2 linked regions of the Drosophila melanogaster genome follow. The protein of the gene in region 2 interacts with the protein of the main gene of each other region in a pairwise test. Each region holds a gene or a part of one and is shown on either strand. Other genes may lie near its edges.

Evidence for each region. Proteins that work in one complex are often made in the same cells at the same time.
Region 1: the proteins of Mical (region 2) and PlexA interact in a two-hybrid assay, tested with the Drosophila melanogaster proteins (3 studies listed by BioGRID).

Annotation. Positions count from the first base shown.
Region 1 is NC_004353.4:1,022,011-1,030,192, forward strand, and holds the start of PlexA (plexin A), read right to left. Parts: upstream 5,092-8,182; 5' UTR 4,953-5,091; exon of another isoform or gene 4,760-4,952; intron 4,526-4,759; exon of another isoform or gene 4,206-4,525; intron 1,671-4,205; 5' UTR 1,462-1,670; coding exon 232-1,461; intron 1-231. Other genes in the region: mitochondrial inner membrane protein MPV17, read right to left, coding at 6,733-7,239; CG11076 (uncharacterized protein), read right to left, coding at 7,961-8,182.
Region 2 is NT_033777.3:10,036,701-10,044,731, reverse strand, and holds the start of Mical (molecule interacting with CasL), read left to right. Parts: upstream 1-1,836; 5' UTR 1,837-1,940; intron 1,941-2,733; exon of another isoform or gene 2,734-2,760; intron 2,761-6,841; 5' UTR 6,842-6,916; intron 6,917-8,031. Other genes in the region: CG11722 (uncharacterized protein), read left to right, coding at 1-105; CG3909 (uncharacterized protein), read right to left, coding at 155-428, 483-670, 728-966, 1,038-1,329, 1,383-1,385. UniProt on the Drosophila melanogaster protein: Monooxygenase that promotes depolymerization of F-actin by mediating oxidation of specific methionine residues on actin.

The sequences.
Region 1 (8,182 bases), on a different chromosome or scaffold from region 2:
AATATAAATATAAATATAAATATAAATATAAATATAAATATAAATATAAATATATATAATACATGTATATATATATATATAAAAATATATATATATAATTTGACGAAACGTGGGAATTAACTTTAAAGGGCTTAGAAATAATTAAGTAAACACTGAGCACTTTACAATAAGACATTACTTTTTAAAAGGATTTTACTTTGAAGCTAAAGTAGTCAATAAAACTATACTTACCGTTAGAACACATGGCATGCTGGGTGATATAAAGTCCAGGCCCCTCATGCCACTTCCGTTAAAACAGGATTTTATGTTTTGCATAAACTTTCGACGAATAGATTTTAATGAGTAAATGCAGAGTGCAGAATTGTTCGTTGGTGTATTCCCTTCTCCTTTTGAAAAAACAGCAAAGAGGACATCATCTTGAATAGATATACCTAAGCTTTGAGCCAGGTCTGAGCTAGGTTTTCCCAAGAATCCAGCCTGAACCAAGTTGAATTTAGTGCCGCCTTGAGCATCACTTATACATTCCACTGGAATTTCAGTGTAAGAATAATAGTTCGAGTCTTCCTGACATATTCGTACGAGTTTCGTTATGTACTCTTTAGGAGAAGAATGGTGACTGTGCTTTAACTGTGTTGTTAGAAAGTAAGAAAATCGCTCAGAACTGAATCCATAAACATAGTTGACAAAATATGTTTCACGTGCGTATGAGTTTATAAAAGTTCTCGTTCCAGTTGTAACTGCCGAGGAAGCAATCTGAAACATTTTAGTCTTTTCGAGGGAGCGGGATGCAACTGCGGGAATTTCACTGCGGTACGGTGAATTATTTGTGTATGTAACTCCGACGTACATCACATTAGTCACCGGATGTTGTGGAGGTCCCGGCGCAATAAATGCTACGGTTGAGGAGTTGGCATCATTAGCCACAACAGCATCAGGAACTTCATGCTCAATTATGCTGACATTTTGAAGATTACGAACTGTGCATGTACCTTGAAATAGTGATCCACACGCAATAAGTCTTGAAGTTGCACGATCAATGAGCAAGACCTTATTATAATTGTCCGTCGGACTGCGAACTGCATTTAATGGACAATCAAGAATGCTACACTCGACGGAATCATTTTGAGGCCCCGTTTTCACAGTTTCGGAAAGCTCCAAATCAGGCGACAACTGATACAACCTGTTAACACCACCAACGAAGACTCGTCCAGTAATGGTGTCCACTAATAGGTGATTCAATTTGGTGTCAAACGCAGCTACATTTGTAATCGTAGAATTCAGATTCTTTGCATTCTTTATCGGTGCATTTGCATTAGTCAAATTTATCGGCTCATTTTGCGCAGTCGTCTTGTCAGACCATATATTTGCTGCCAGGGTTTGACAACCTGTCCTCGATGGCAGCCAGTAATCATACTTATCTTTAAGAATTGCTATTAACAACACACTAAGAACAAAATTCATCTCCACAATCGCTCCTTAAACAGGACTATCAAAGCTACCTTATTTATGAAATTGTTACTTGTAGGCGCTTGTATGTCCCTTATTTATTTGAAATTTTACGTAAATATTAAAATTTCCTTTGCGTTGGTGTCATTCTTGCAATTTTTATTATCCGTTCCATTCAAGATAATTTAACTTGGAGCAATAACTTGTATGACCATCATGTAAACCTGAAAAAACAATAAGGAAAGTAGTTATATATATATATATATATATATATATATATATATATACCCGTTACTCGTAGAGTAAAGGGTATACTAGATTCGTTGATAATTATTTAACTGGCAGAAGTAGGCGTTTCCGACCATATAAAGAAAATATATTCTTGATCAGGATCAATAGCCGAGTCGATCTGGCCATGTACGAATGAACGCAAGGTTAAACTTCGCTAAAACCTACAGAAACTGTCCAGTCTCCAAATGGCTTAATATCCTTTGGACTGATGAGTCAAAAATATGAACTGGAACTGGTTCACGACAGTATGTCCAACGACCTCCAAAGACCGAGTACAACCCAAGCCACACACTCAAGAATGTTAAGCACGGTGGACATAAATATGGTATGGGCCTGTTTTTCATACAACGGTGTGGGTCCCATACATATGATTAATGGTATGTAAATATACCTAGTGATGTTTTACTGCCATATGCTGAATGGAATATGCCCTTATAATGGACATTCCAATAGGATAATGATCCGAAACGCAGAAGCAAATCGGCTAAGAATAAGTTCACCCAAAATAGAATAGATGCAATGCCGTGGCAAGCACCATCATCCGATTTAAACCCGATTGAAAACCTGTGGGGGGACATTAAACAATACGTGTCGAAGAATTCCCCGATGTCCAAGATTCAGCTTTGGCAAGTTGTGCAGGATGCATGGGCAAAAATTCCCCCAAACGTCCTCGTGGACTCCATGCCGAGTAGGTGTAAGGCTGTGCTGGCTAAAAAAGGCAATCCAACCAGGTATTAGTCCCTAATTAACACATTAAAAAAAAACTATGTTAGTTCTAAGTCATGTTGTTACTATTTTTTCATATCACTGCTATTTCAGTGAACACCAGAATTTCTGCCTATTATGTTGTTTTAATCTATATCTATTGAAAAAATAAAAGTGAAACATATGTTGAATTGTTTGATATAATAATAAAATTATGAAAAAAATTCCCATTACAACTTTAAATCATATGATTTTTTATCCTAAACTCGCAAGTCCCAAGCACTGCTATTTTTATGAACACAGCTGTATATATCAGCTAAAAGGTTGAGATTCAGCATACAGATTCTAAAGACAAATACGGAGCGAAAGTTTGTTAACCTATGTTGCCACGCCCACTCTAACGCCCTAAAACCGCGCAAAACTGCCACGCTCACATTTTAAAACAAATTTTAAATTTTTTCTCATTTTATTCCTTAATATTGATATCCCAGAAAAATAAAGCAATTTCGCGTTCGCATTCACACTAGCTGAGTTACGGGTATCTGAGTCGGGGAACTCGACTATAGTATTCTTTCGAATTCTATTTGTGTGGATCACCAAACATTGAAATGCTGTTACATATAGATTATAAATGTATTTCGTGAACACCCAATAAATCGTAATTTTGAAAATCTTCACAGCCAAAAAAACTCAGTTTAAAAATTTAATCACGTCAAAACAAAAACTGTGGGTTGGCTGTAAGTGTACTTCCCTGAAACATGGGTAGTTTATCGCATAGTTTAAAATGATGTCGTACAAATAGTTTTGAAACTACAGTTAAGGTTAAAATAATAGCACTACTGCAGGTGGAAAATTGATATCCTAAAAAAAATTATAAATTTTTTTTTTTTTAAGCCAGATTGCATGAATAATAAGTACCATATGTTGCCTCTTTGAGCAATAAATTTTTAGTCTCTCAATTTAACGGTTCTTTTTGTTTTTGGGCACTTGCTGCAAAAGTGCGCGAAATGAGGCGGTAACAAAAATAGCACTGAAAACGTATTTGCTGAATAAAATTAATGGGAGTGATTGCTTTGGTTTTTTTTACGACAAATTTTGAAAAAAAGGTGTTGCATTAAAGGTTTTAATTGAATTTGCTCCAAACGAAGACCAAAAATTCTCTAGTCATGGGTCACGGAAAGCATTGTACCGTCGAAAAAAGAAATTTGATTAAAAACGTGATCTCTGAAGGTAAAACCTACGCTGAAATTGGTCGCATTGTCGGTTGTTCAAACAAAATGATCCGCAAATCACTGCTGTTTGTCGAAAAGAACGAAACGCGGCGAGGAAAGCCTTCAATGTCCAACTTGGATGCTCTCCAAGCATCCAAGCGCTTGGTTCGGCAAAGCAAGAACCCGGTGACGGAACTGAAGATGGAGCTTCAGATATACTGGCTCAACTCCTTAATATGAAAATCTCACCCAAAGCATAATTCATGAACCAACGTGCTCTACCATTTACTGTCTCCGAATAGGACTATAACCGACCAAAATATATTCCGCTACTGCCGCTAATATGTTGACCGCAACTGTACATATATATTAAACATGAATCCATATCATGCTATAAATATTAATGGAATGGAAATCCCAAGCTAAGGAGTTTCCTATGTATGCTATATAAGCATATCTCGTTTTTGCAATAAAAAATTTCCTCTACCTAACACATTAATTGTAAAACTTTGAACAAATTCAGTTCCAAACGTTCAATTTTTTTCCACTTACATATATTCGCACTCAGGCCACTTATTCCAAGCCATTTCGTTATAGAGAATTTATGTAGTTTTAAAGTATATTCACGGCTATTCCAGGATTTCAAATTTGGGCGAGCGTGCACAATATTTGGTAATTTCATTGCAAATGCATATATGCATACTGCACATACATACATACAAATTTGGCCAGCGCCCGAATTTAAATACATATAATAAACCGGTAAAATGTAAGTGCACTTAGTTTAAATGTTTTTAGGCAAAGATTATTGAGAGAAGTAAAACTCGATCTTTTGCATTTGGAATTTTTGGGATATTCTGGTGCACACACATCTATACAAAATGTATATATTTATATGCATACACATGCACATCATATACAGCAAATTTTATTTTGCTGCTATCTTTCCCAATGCATGATGCATTTAATTTCGTATGTGTGAAACGCAGCTAACAATGTATTTAAATAAGAGCCACACTTTTTAAAAATACTATTTACATAAATATAATATATACTTAAGTACATAAAACAAAATGATTGCATGGCCGTTTTTAATTTTTACATACATACAACGTTGTATACCAGTTAAAGAAAATTTGTATTTTCTTAATAATTCTAAAGCAATGCAATATACACTGGAACGTTAAATGATTTTATTACACTTTTTTTAATATTTAGCAAAAAATGACAATTTTGTATGTATATCTGAATTATGGAACGGCGATAGTTTTCTAGTGAACAATCGGAAATCCGGCTTACTGTTTGTTTTCCTATATTTCACTCATTAACTATTATTTCTTTACATCGCAAGTCACTGAACATAATTTCTGTCTATTTTCGAATTACACCACACTTTAATTTACACATCATTGTATGTAAATGTTATCGATACTATAAGGCAGAGGAGAGAATTAAACAACTAGTTGTTAGTCCTAAGACCCGTTCATACCTATCACTATCGATACCTAAATTAACCGATGGCACACTTCAAAATGTAATGTTCACGAGTACATGGAAAATGTCTTGTTGTTACTGTGTAATGACTCGTACGAAAGTAATTTGGAAGGGGTTTGATTCCCAAGCCAGATAATATTTATTATCTCTCTAATTTCCTTGAGCATTATTAAAAAATGAAATAAATATATTTAATATATTCGTTTTCTTTAATATCGATAGTGTGATGAGACTATAAAGGTCTGTTCACAATGAAAATGTAAATTGAAAAATTGGACTTAAGAATTTCATGCTAACAGCTCCTCAATCCACAGCAAATATGTGCGCAAACTGTATCAAAGCATAATTTTGTTATTTAAAATTTCATGGCACAACTTTTTTTTGTTGGCCTTTGTGCACATTTTATGACCTATTGAAATATCTTCAACTGACACCGACTGCAGATGTGCATATTTACACATCTGATTTAAAGCATTGTTGTTATGACCATGTAGTTAGAGACTTAGTTAGTTAGTAAGAAAAAAAAATAATCAATAATTTCACTGTTTTGAGGGCTGATTAGCAATAGAGATTTTTTCTAAGAAATGACATATAGATAAAAGTTAAATGAATTGAATTGCAGGGTGTTTATTTGCACATGTACACATGAAGTGTATTCCACTATTGGCTGCTTACATTCTCAGCTTCGTGCGTGCGCAGTTTGCGGTATTTTTGGCGCTACTAAGGTAAATTCTATCCATAAATCGTCTATCTCACGTTAAACAACAGGATATCAACAACTTGTGGGAAACTGTCAGAAGATACCGTTGACGCACTTTTCAAAAGTTTATTCCCCTAAATCGTAAAATAGAAATGTAGAAAGGAACAAACTTATGGAGAATTGATATTTTCGGAACTATGAACTCTAGAGAGCTCAGAGCATGTAGATTCAAGTGACGCCACATTTTTCAAGATTGTTGCAGAACGTTTGTTGTTTAACCCTACCTCCCACAATCTGCCTTAAAATGTCAGAAATAAAAGGTTTACCCGTTATTCAGATAGTGGGAACAGTGGGCGTGGCTAAAATACGTTTGGCAAATCGATAGAAACAGCCAAGAGAATTTATAAAATAAAATCGAAAAATAATTCTTAAGAGTGGGCATAACAGTTTGGGTGTGGCAAAATTTTTGTGGTATGTCAATATCATGACAGATAATTAAATGAAAACAAAATAACAACACAACGCCCACAGAAATTGTGGGCGTTAGATTGGGCGTGACGTCGTTATGATACAATCTTGCTTATCCAATTCAAATTTAAATGATCGAGTAAATATTTTGAGAAGCACATGCCCAACCGACTAATAACGGAGGGAAATAAGATTTCAAGCAAAATTTTTTGAAGTGCTTTGTAGGATTAAAACTCGAGTGCCTATAATACATGTATACTATAAATTCCATTCTATATGTACAGCCTTTCCGCCGAATACCCCTAAAAAAACGACAACCAAATCCAGTCCGAAGTCACATGTCGAGATAAGGATAATAATGTATTTGTTAAATTTGATACACAGGCACCGTATTACTTATGCGGGGAACTTAGTGCCCTAGCTATTAAGTATCATGGAGAGGTAGCAGTTCCATACGAGGGCGATGAACTGGGCGTAGAGCACCTGGTAGCCCAGCGGCACGAATCTGAAGTTTAGCATCTGTGCGGCCGGCCAGAGCATATAGTTGCGGACCAATATAGATAGGTAGCTATCAAGAATGCGCTGCCGGATTCGGTCGATGGGCTCTCCGTTGGAGAGTGGCACCAAAAAAGACATGGCCATGGTAAAGGGTGGCGCAAAAAGGGTCTGGTCGACCAGCATTTTGGTAACGCCCCGCCGCATTGGCGAGTAGGTTTTGGGAACCCGGGACTCCAAAAAATGGTACCACCGGCGCAAAGTTGGGCCAACGAACACCAGTCCAACGATGCCGAAACGGAGGGTTCGCCCCGCATCCCATTCGTCCAACGATTTCTTATCAAAAAAGAACTGGGATATAGTATCGCCCAGACACATTACCGCCGCCACATTGATGCCATCCTTTAGGTACGCTTTAAGTCTCTTCATCCTTATCAGAGATCAGTTCCATTCATAGCCCGATCCAAATTGTTTTAAATACGCAATTAAAACACAACTGAGAAATCGATTTGCTGTTGTTCGTGTAGTTTTAAAGGGTTGCCTAATAATCGCAAAGTGATTGGTGTCAATTGCTGAAGTGACAAAAATTGGCAACTCTGAATAATTATTTAAATTAAATTATGCTAGCGTATTCAACTTTTTAACGCGCGTGAGTCCTTTTAATTGTTACATGCCGAATGAGAAAACGTTAAATTGCGTTCAATATGCAATTTAATGTAATGTAATGTAAAATAACTTAAACGTTTTAAGTATCGAACTGTTTTAGCACAGAAATCTCTTTCGGAACATGCGCAACGCGTATTCTTAATATTCTTTTAAATATAAATCTTAACTTTAACCACCGCTCTTTCTCCGCAACTATTAAGGTACTGATATTAACGTCAGCTGTTCATAGTGCTGTGAACACGCCTTGACAAAGTGCAATTTTATTTCGTTATTAAATGACTACATTAATTTATGCAGCTTATATGTGATAATCTATAATCCAAATCGTTACATATTTTTATTTAATTACGTAAGTATGTGAATTTATCTTAAGTAAACTCTAATTCTTAATGGTTTCCATTCGACTTTTTTAAGCCTTCTTGTGCAATTACTTCGTCCAGGTCATTAGCGGCCGTTGCTTTCATTTAATTTAAGCTTCTTTTGTCTATTTCCCTACTGCATTTCCCGTTTTGTGACCGTTTGAATTAAATTTTTTCTTGCGCATTTTGGCAGGACCAACTTCCTCTGCTGGGTTCATTATATTTTTCTCGATGTCCTCTTCGTCTAAGAGATCTTTATATAGATCCGGGATTATTGTTTCCTTCATGAACTGCGGCGTACGACCGGTAAGCACCGACTGTCGCACATCGTCCTCTTTTTGTTCTAG
Region 2 (8,031 bases):
ACTTTTAATATGTACATACCCGACCAGAAGTACAAAGACACGATGCTAACTCAAGCCACGCAGCCCCTTCTGCGGGTTAAATCGAGCTCGGAGGGTAATCCGTAAATAAATCATTCTTGTTCTTTGTTTTAAACCTACGCTCTATTGTATGAAATCAAACAATGGCATTGGGCGGACAGTAGTATATGTTCAGGGACTTGTCCTCAGAAGCAGAGGCCACCTTGTCGTTTCCGGGGCTATATCGGACGCCCCACACCTGATCTGTGTGCTCGGCGAACGTGTGCAGGCACTTGCGTTCCGAGGTGTCCCATATTTTCACGCTGTTATCACTGGAGGAGCTGGCAAAGTGTTTGCCGTCCTCGGAGAATGCCACGCACAGCACCCAAGATGCGTGCCCAGATAGGGTGCCCACAACGTCGGAGTGGGTTCTAAAACGAGGAGATAGTAGTGCCTGAAAATGTCATAGGTGTTAAGCCACTTACACATCATAAAGCTTCATGTGACCATCATCTGAGGCAGTGAGCAGCAGCTGCGAGTTCGGAGAAAAGCAAAGGCTACGCACTGGCATCGCGTGTCCTTCCAATGTTTGCACTACCTTGCCCGCGGCCACATCGAAAATGGTAATGATACCATCGATGGCTCCACTGGCAATGTACTTGCCATCGGGACTCTAGAATAATACAGCTATAGGATTCTCAAAATGGGTTATTTACCAGATAAAGCTTACGTAGGCAATGCTAAGCGTGTATTTCCCATTTTGGGCATCCAATGTCTGCTCTGCCTTTCCGGTTTCCACACTGTACATGGAGATTTTGCCGTCGTTCAGTCCGGATATCACATATTTGTTGCAGGGTGAAAATTGCACCGTCCAGAGATCAACAGGCCCAAAGCTAAGTAGGTGTTTCTTGTCGCCCGAACGGGCATCCCACAAACACATGGTGGAGTCCAGAGAACTACTGGCAATGGCTGGAAGGAAGGCGGCACCATTAATTGATGTCCATTTCTCTATCTCCCAAGTACAGAATCTTTCAACCTACTCTGTCCATCGGAACTGACGGCCACAGAAACAACTCCCAGGGCATGTCCTTTTAGTTTGTGGCGCAACTTTAGGGTGTTGTCCTCCTGCAAGTCCCACACCTTTACCAAGTCATCCAGTCCGCCGGTGACCAAGAAATCCTTCGGGCGGGCCTCCTTCTTATCGAAATCAAAGGGATTCTCCTCGGGCTCCACGACCGCGTCATCCGGATCTGAGGCCGCAGTGTCGCGTCCCCAGGTGCACGCCCATAGCTGACTGTCGTGCGCATTTTCCTCTTTATGAAGGACAGAAAACTAGCGGAAAAAAGGGATGTATAAAAGGCACAGTTCGTTAAATATCTACTTACCATTTTAAAATGCCGGAAAAGTGTTTATTTTATGCGAACGAGAGCGATCAGCAAATTAGCTGTTATCGATAACAATGGTTGACGTTAGAATTAGTATTGAAAAGGGAGGTTTACAGTGGGTCAAAACTGTTATGCTGAATATGTTTCAATGTGAATAAATTAAACATGGAATTCTTTATATAAATGAAAGAAATAAAGAAGTATAAAACAAATTGACGTTTTTAAAATTTTTTCACAGGTAATATTATATATAACAAAATAATATTTTACTTTATTATATCTTTATTATACTTATTTAGGTAAAAAGCTTAGTTTTTAAGTAAACATGTTATATATTAAATTATTTGAATTGCTATTTATTGTTTTGGTATATTTGCCCATATGGCACACGGCATAATACCACTTTCCCGCCATGGTCACACCATCGGCTTATAGTTGCACTCCCGGCGCGGCCACACTGTTTATAGCCGTCGAGAACCGAGGAACGAACGTCGCGTTTTAAAAAACAAATCCCCAAACGACTCGGACGCGAGATCCAAGCGACTGGCGAGGAAAAGTGTAAGTGACGGGTGCAATTACGTGCCCCACGGTGCAGCCATGCCCGGATCTACCAGTGCGGTTATATAATGCGGATATAGTTATAGTTCTTAGCCCCTCGCGATACGATATCAAAAACAAAGGAACGAATAGGACCAACGCGTGTGTTCTGCTTTTCAGTTTTCGGTTCGTTTTCGATTTTTTTTCATTTTGCTGTCGTCGCCGCCGTGAATTCGAATATGTATGATTTTCTTCTATGGATCCGCGTGTCTGGAATATATTAATAAACATAAACAGTGAAGCCTCGTTCGTTCGTGTGTGTGGGGGCGGGTGTGCGTGAGCGTGAGTGCGAGTGTGTGTGTGGTTGTGCATCAGCATATTATTTATCTCACATATCATATCTTTCGACAAAATCGAAAAGATTCGAATGATTCATTCTTGTGGCAGCAGGACTCGCCGATTTGTGCACTAAACCGAAATGAAAGGCATATAGTTTTGCTGCACTTTCCATGTGTTTTTCGTGGTGTGTTTGTTTTATTGATTCCCACTTTCCCGTTCCCCGTTCTCCGTTTTCCGCCCAGTTTCCACTTCTTCCCCTCCGTACAACATTCATATTCGCGCCTGCCCCCACAACTTCGTTTCCGATTTGGTGTAAACAATAACGGCAACCGGTTTTCGCGTGCAACTTTATCTCCCTAATATCGCCATTCCTCTTATTCTTCTTCTCTTCCTCTGCTCACTTTTGTTTCGATTATAATCGCAATTTGCCGTTTTCAAAATGATATATGCAAACCCTTTCGAATAAATCAAACAGTTCCAACTGAATTTGTAAATTATCAAGGTGAGTCGCCAGCCGGGGATCAATAATGCTATATTATAAGATGAAGTGGAAGATTTGCATGTTTATGTAATCTTATCGGTATTTTATGTTAATTTTCTCACACATGTTGGGATTCATATATCTTAAGAGAGGTGTATTCATTTCATAAAACATTCTTTACTTGAGATTTGGTATATGAAAGTTAGTTATTCGTTTATTTTAACAATACTACAGGCAAACGATGTCTTCTAGGGTATGAAATGGTCCTATAGAAAGAAAGGTAGTTAGGTAGTAGTAGTGACGCTTAAAGATCCGTAAAGTTAAATGACTCTAAATCCCACAGCTTTGCTCCACTTCCATTCGTAATTCCAAAGCAAACCCATCACGGTTGCTCTTAGCCTTCGCACTAATGTGACTGGAGGATAAGAATAAATGTTTGCCCTTAAGAGGTGCTCAAAAGGCGTCAAAAAAAAAAAAAATAATAATAAGAATGGAAAAACTAGACCATAAACATAAATGCATTTCACAGCTGCCATTAGTGCACAACTTTTCACAATCGGCGAGAAAAACCAGCGCAAAAACCAAGTACGACAAAATGGAAATCCAGGGCATGCAAAAAGAAAATGAAACAGTGGCAAACTGCGGAAAAAGCCAAAGCCCAGGCGCAATGCACTCGGAAAATGGATGGAAAACCAACAAAGTTATTAGTTGAGGTGGGAATACCGCGGTTCCAAGATCGCGGGGAAATGCGAAGTCAAGTGTGGAAAAGCGCTCGCTGGGAAAAGCGTGACATAGTCAAAAGCAATGGGGGCGAAATTGGAGCAATTTGAGTCTGTGCAATGTGACATCATTGTAAGGGGCGTGACGGAGGGCGTGGCAGCAGCCGACAATGACAAGTGCCGAAGTTTTCCAAAAACAAAAGAAAGTCAAACAAGAAAGCAGGGAACATTATTGTCAAGTAAGCGAAAAGATTTGACATATTAGCCATGACATTATTTTAAAGAAATTCAGTAAATTACATGAAATATCTATCAAAGTAGATAATCAAATGATTGTTTTGAGATTATATACAGTGCTTAGTACATGAAGATAAAATAAGAATAAAATGATATATAGTGCTATTTGTAAACCCATTGTACGGGTTGAACTCTATGGAAATTACCAAGAGAGTCGCAATCACGAACATCCTCTGATAAGAATATAGCTGGAATAATCGCCATTCGTTGAACCCCCCAGTCACAAGAGCAATATATAGGAGCATTGACTTTTAAGATCGCGTTCTGATGTCGGTGCAATTTTCTTTACACCAATCAAGGCAGCCCAGAAAATGAAAATGTGATGGCGTCAAGTCATGACATTGCACTGGCAAAAGCACAAGAACAATGGGAAAGTACTCACCATTTGGATTCCAGTGGAAGAGCCAAACTTTTTGCTTGACTGAATAAATATTTCTGGTCCGATCTTTGGCATGGCCAAAAGTGTATTTAAATCCAGAGATAAGATAATAGGTGGAGCATTGCTATTTATAATAATCAACGCTGGGCTCTTTTATCACTTTCGAAGGTTGGAATGTTATTTTAAGCCTCAGCCTCGAGAAAAACACCTAATTTGGGCCCTAATTGGGGCCTCGTTTTTGTTGTTTTTTTTTTTCCCCCTTTTACTAAATATGTGGGATCAGAAAAATATAAATAATATGTATCTGTGTGCTAAATTTATTTAAATATTCTGCAATTAGCCAATCTATCATGAACTTAAAGTAAGGAATAGTTCCAATTAGAAAGTATAGATTACTTTCACATATTTTAACTGCTGTCACTCCTGTAAAACACTCCCATTTTTGTGCCCCCTTAAACCTTTGACTTTTGTTTGTGGAATGCCATAAAGTGCACTCTTTATGACCGCAATGCGTTTGCAACTGCAAGTGGAAGGCAGGGTCTTCGGTTCCTCATTTTGAGAAGCACTTGAAAAGCCATTAAACATTGCTCCAAACCCGACTCGAGTAGAATCCCCGTATCTGCCTTTCTTCCCCCAATTAACCCATAAATGGGAAATTGATATCGTTCAATGTTTTGCGTTGTGACAGTGATAAAATATCAGCCGAATTAGATAAACTTACGGTCAAGGACAAGTATCTTTTACACTCGTACTTCTATGTATTTGAAGTTTTTTCTTCAAGTTGAAAAGCGACAGAGTTAAGTTTTTCATCGCCAATGTGATTTCTTTTTTCTTTTTGGCATATGCCATTTGGGTTTTTGTTGGCCTTTCACATGATAGGCTTTTGTGTGCTATTTATCGCATTTTTATCGCCACTTTAATAACATATGCCATTCGGTCGGGAAAAATGGGTTTGTTGGGGAGTTTTGGGGCGTCAATTAGCTGTCGTCTGGGCCGGGCACTTTCACAATTTATCAAAAATACATCAAATACACACTGTTCGTTTTCAATTTCATGCTTTTTGTTGTCTGAGCTTTTCTTTCGCTCCGTCTCTTTTTTATTTTCATTTTATTTCACTTTAGAGGTGACAGGAGTTTCTTTATTAATTAAAAACGCGACAGACATCGCCGTCATCGCCGTGATGACCATGACCCAAGTGAATGAGCTCCTTTGTTGCGATGGCTGTTGTTTTTCGCTTTGTTATTTGTGCATTTTTCCATTGCAAAAGTTCGCTGATCCGGTGAATAAGATTCTGCTCTTGTCTATAATTCAGTTGAGACAACTAAGCACATACAACATGCTACTTTTGTTACGCCCGCCTTTGTGCCGGTGTGTTTGGGTTTTTAATTTGAGCCTCGATTTTCCAGTTTTACAGCCAGTGAGGCATTAACTTTGCTCATTTAGCCACTCGGTTTATTCACTCAGCCACTCACCCGTTCGCTTAGCTTCAGTCATCTATCCATCTATCGTTTAATCGGCCCTTCTGCCTTCTAGACCAAGTTTAGTTTAGGAGCCGGTTTGCGAGCTCTTAATATGATTAAGTTTTTACGCTTCGACAGCTTCTAGCACGGCTCACCTACCTTCGCTATATGTTTTCATACATATATACATAGGGGTTTGTTAGAAGCACCTACATTTGTTTACAAAACTGCACTTCATTTCCGAACTAGAAGTTTTCAATTTTCAAAGAAACCTAACTGGGAATGGGGCAAGCATTGGGGATTATCCCGAGTAATATAACTCCGTGGGGGTGTTTTATATCCACGAGTTCTTCGAATTTCGTGTCCTAATTCAATGTTATCTTTAGTACTTAATAGCAAGTTGAAACCAGATGCAAGTTAAAGTAATTCATATCTCAAAATACGCTATGGTATAAAGTTGAAGTTTACCATTAGTGCTTTATGTAATCAACTTTTGTGTTTCTATTTTTCTTGGGAAAACTGCAAGTGGTTTATTGACTAAACACCATTCGCGATTTATTGATTTGAATCGCCATGCAAACACCCCATTGCACTGGTTTCCCGTCTCTCAATTGAAATCATCCAAACAAATTGCATTTGCATGCTCGATTCCCCCGGAGTCAAAGCGAAGGCCAATTAATGGCAGTGAACAATACAATTTTCAATGAAAATTCAAAGTGCTGACAGGCGACAATGTTTGATCGCATCTGAAGGTCGTGGAATTGGCCAATGAACATAATATAAACAGATATTTCTAAATGGAGCCTCATGTCAGTGGCACTCTCAGAAATTCGACATTTCGCCCGGATGTGCCACCGTCTAAAATAAAAGCACCAATGTTCTGTGAACTTCTCGTTGTTTACAGATAAATTTGGGTATATTTATTTGTGCACCTTTTAAGTAATATATAGGTGGTAGAGAACCACATGAGTCAGTCTCCTTAATTATTTAAAAGAGTCAGGCATCGAAAGATGACGTATTTTGGCCATTGCCGAGATCTCAAATCAGAAGATCAACTAATATACTTATGCACTTAAAGAAATACTACTTTACACTTAATTTAAGTACACCTTTGCTCTTTAGTTGCTTGTAAGAACATAACTAACATCATTATGTAATGCTGCTCTTATTAAACCCCTTGGAACTAGTTCTTAAACCAATTACTAGTTATTAAATTTAATCAATACTTCTTCTTTTTTTCCTTTCAGTGAACTAAACAAATCATAATATATATATCGCCTTCCCAACACAAATGTTTTCTGCCAGCAAAATTGCTTGTTAAGGTGAGTTGTTTGAAATGTATAATTATATATTAAATTCATATGCGTATTAGTGTAGATTGGCATATGTCAGTGACTAAGAACGAAACAATTAATGGCCGATAATTGCTGTTGGACAAGAGAGACTTGCGTTTGTTCGCCATAACTACGACAGGCGATTTATTTGGAATGGATTAGATAAGACGTATAGAGTCTCTCGGCTAACAATGCAGCTGTACTAAAAGTTATGCAAAAGCAAAGAGTTTCCGTTTCCGCTGGTTAATATATTAATTGATTAATTCAATTATCGTTCTAAACTTTTGTACGTCACTTGTACCTGTATTTTTTGAGTTTTGTCCACCTGCACTGGCCCATCAATCTTGGCCAGCCAGCTCGACTGTCTCATAACCCTGCATCGTGCATTTTTAATTGGCGAACGCTGCTCGTCTTCTTCATATATTGGCCAATGGCCAACTGAAAAGGGCAAAGTTTATTGGGACAATAATAAAATCGAACTGGCAGAATCGGCAATCGGCGAGAATCGAGATGTGAGATTCGAGAAATCGAAACCCGGCAAGAACTATTTTTAATTACCCCACAGCATTGGGCTGTGACAGTTTCAGTTTCAGTTTCAATTTCTAGCTGCAGTTTTTCAATTTAATCTTAAATTAATCGGGGCACCACCCACATCACACCCCCATTTTCACGGCCCAAGGGCATCGGGGTATTGGTGGGGGGAAAAAAGAATTCTTAACAAGAAATGAAAATCTAAACATCGCCGAACAGTTTCGATAAACACGAGCCGAAAAATAATGAAAGGGGAAAACTTTCATCGGTGGAAAATTTGTGTAAAATTTATTCTGCCCACAGACTCTTCTTCTTCTATTTAGTTTTTTACTTTTTGTGGCGGCTGCTAATTTTAGCGTGAAGAAAGCTGATTGCATGGGGCATTTGTATTTCGGCTCTTCAATTGCCATTTCATTTATATTTTTAATTACGCAGAGCGATCTAGAGAGATCTCTCTTTCCACAGCGCCGCTTTTGTGGCTCTTTTATGTGCAATTAATTTAACAATTTGTCAAAAAAAAAAAAGAAAGAAACAACGACTATTTTCATCTGTTTCCATACATTATTTTGTAG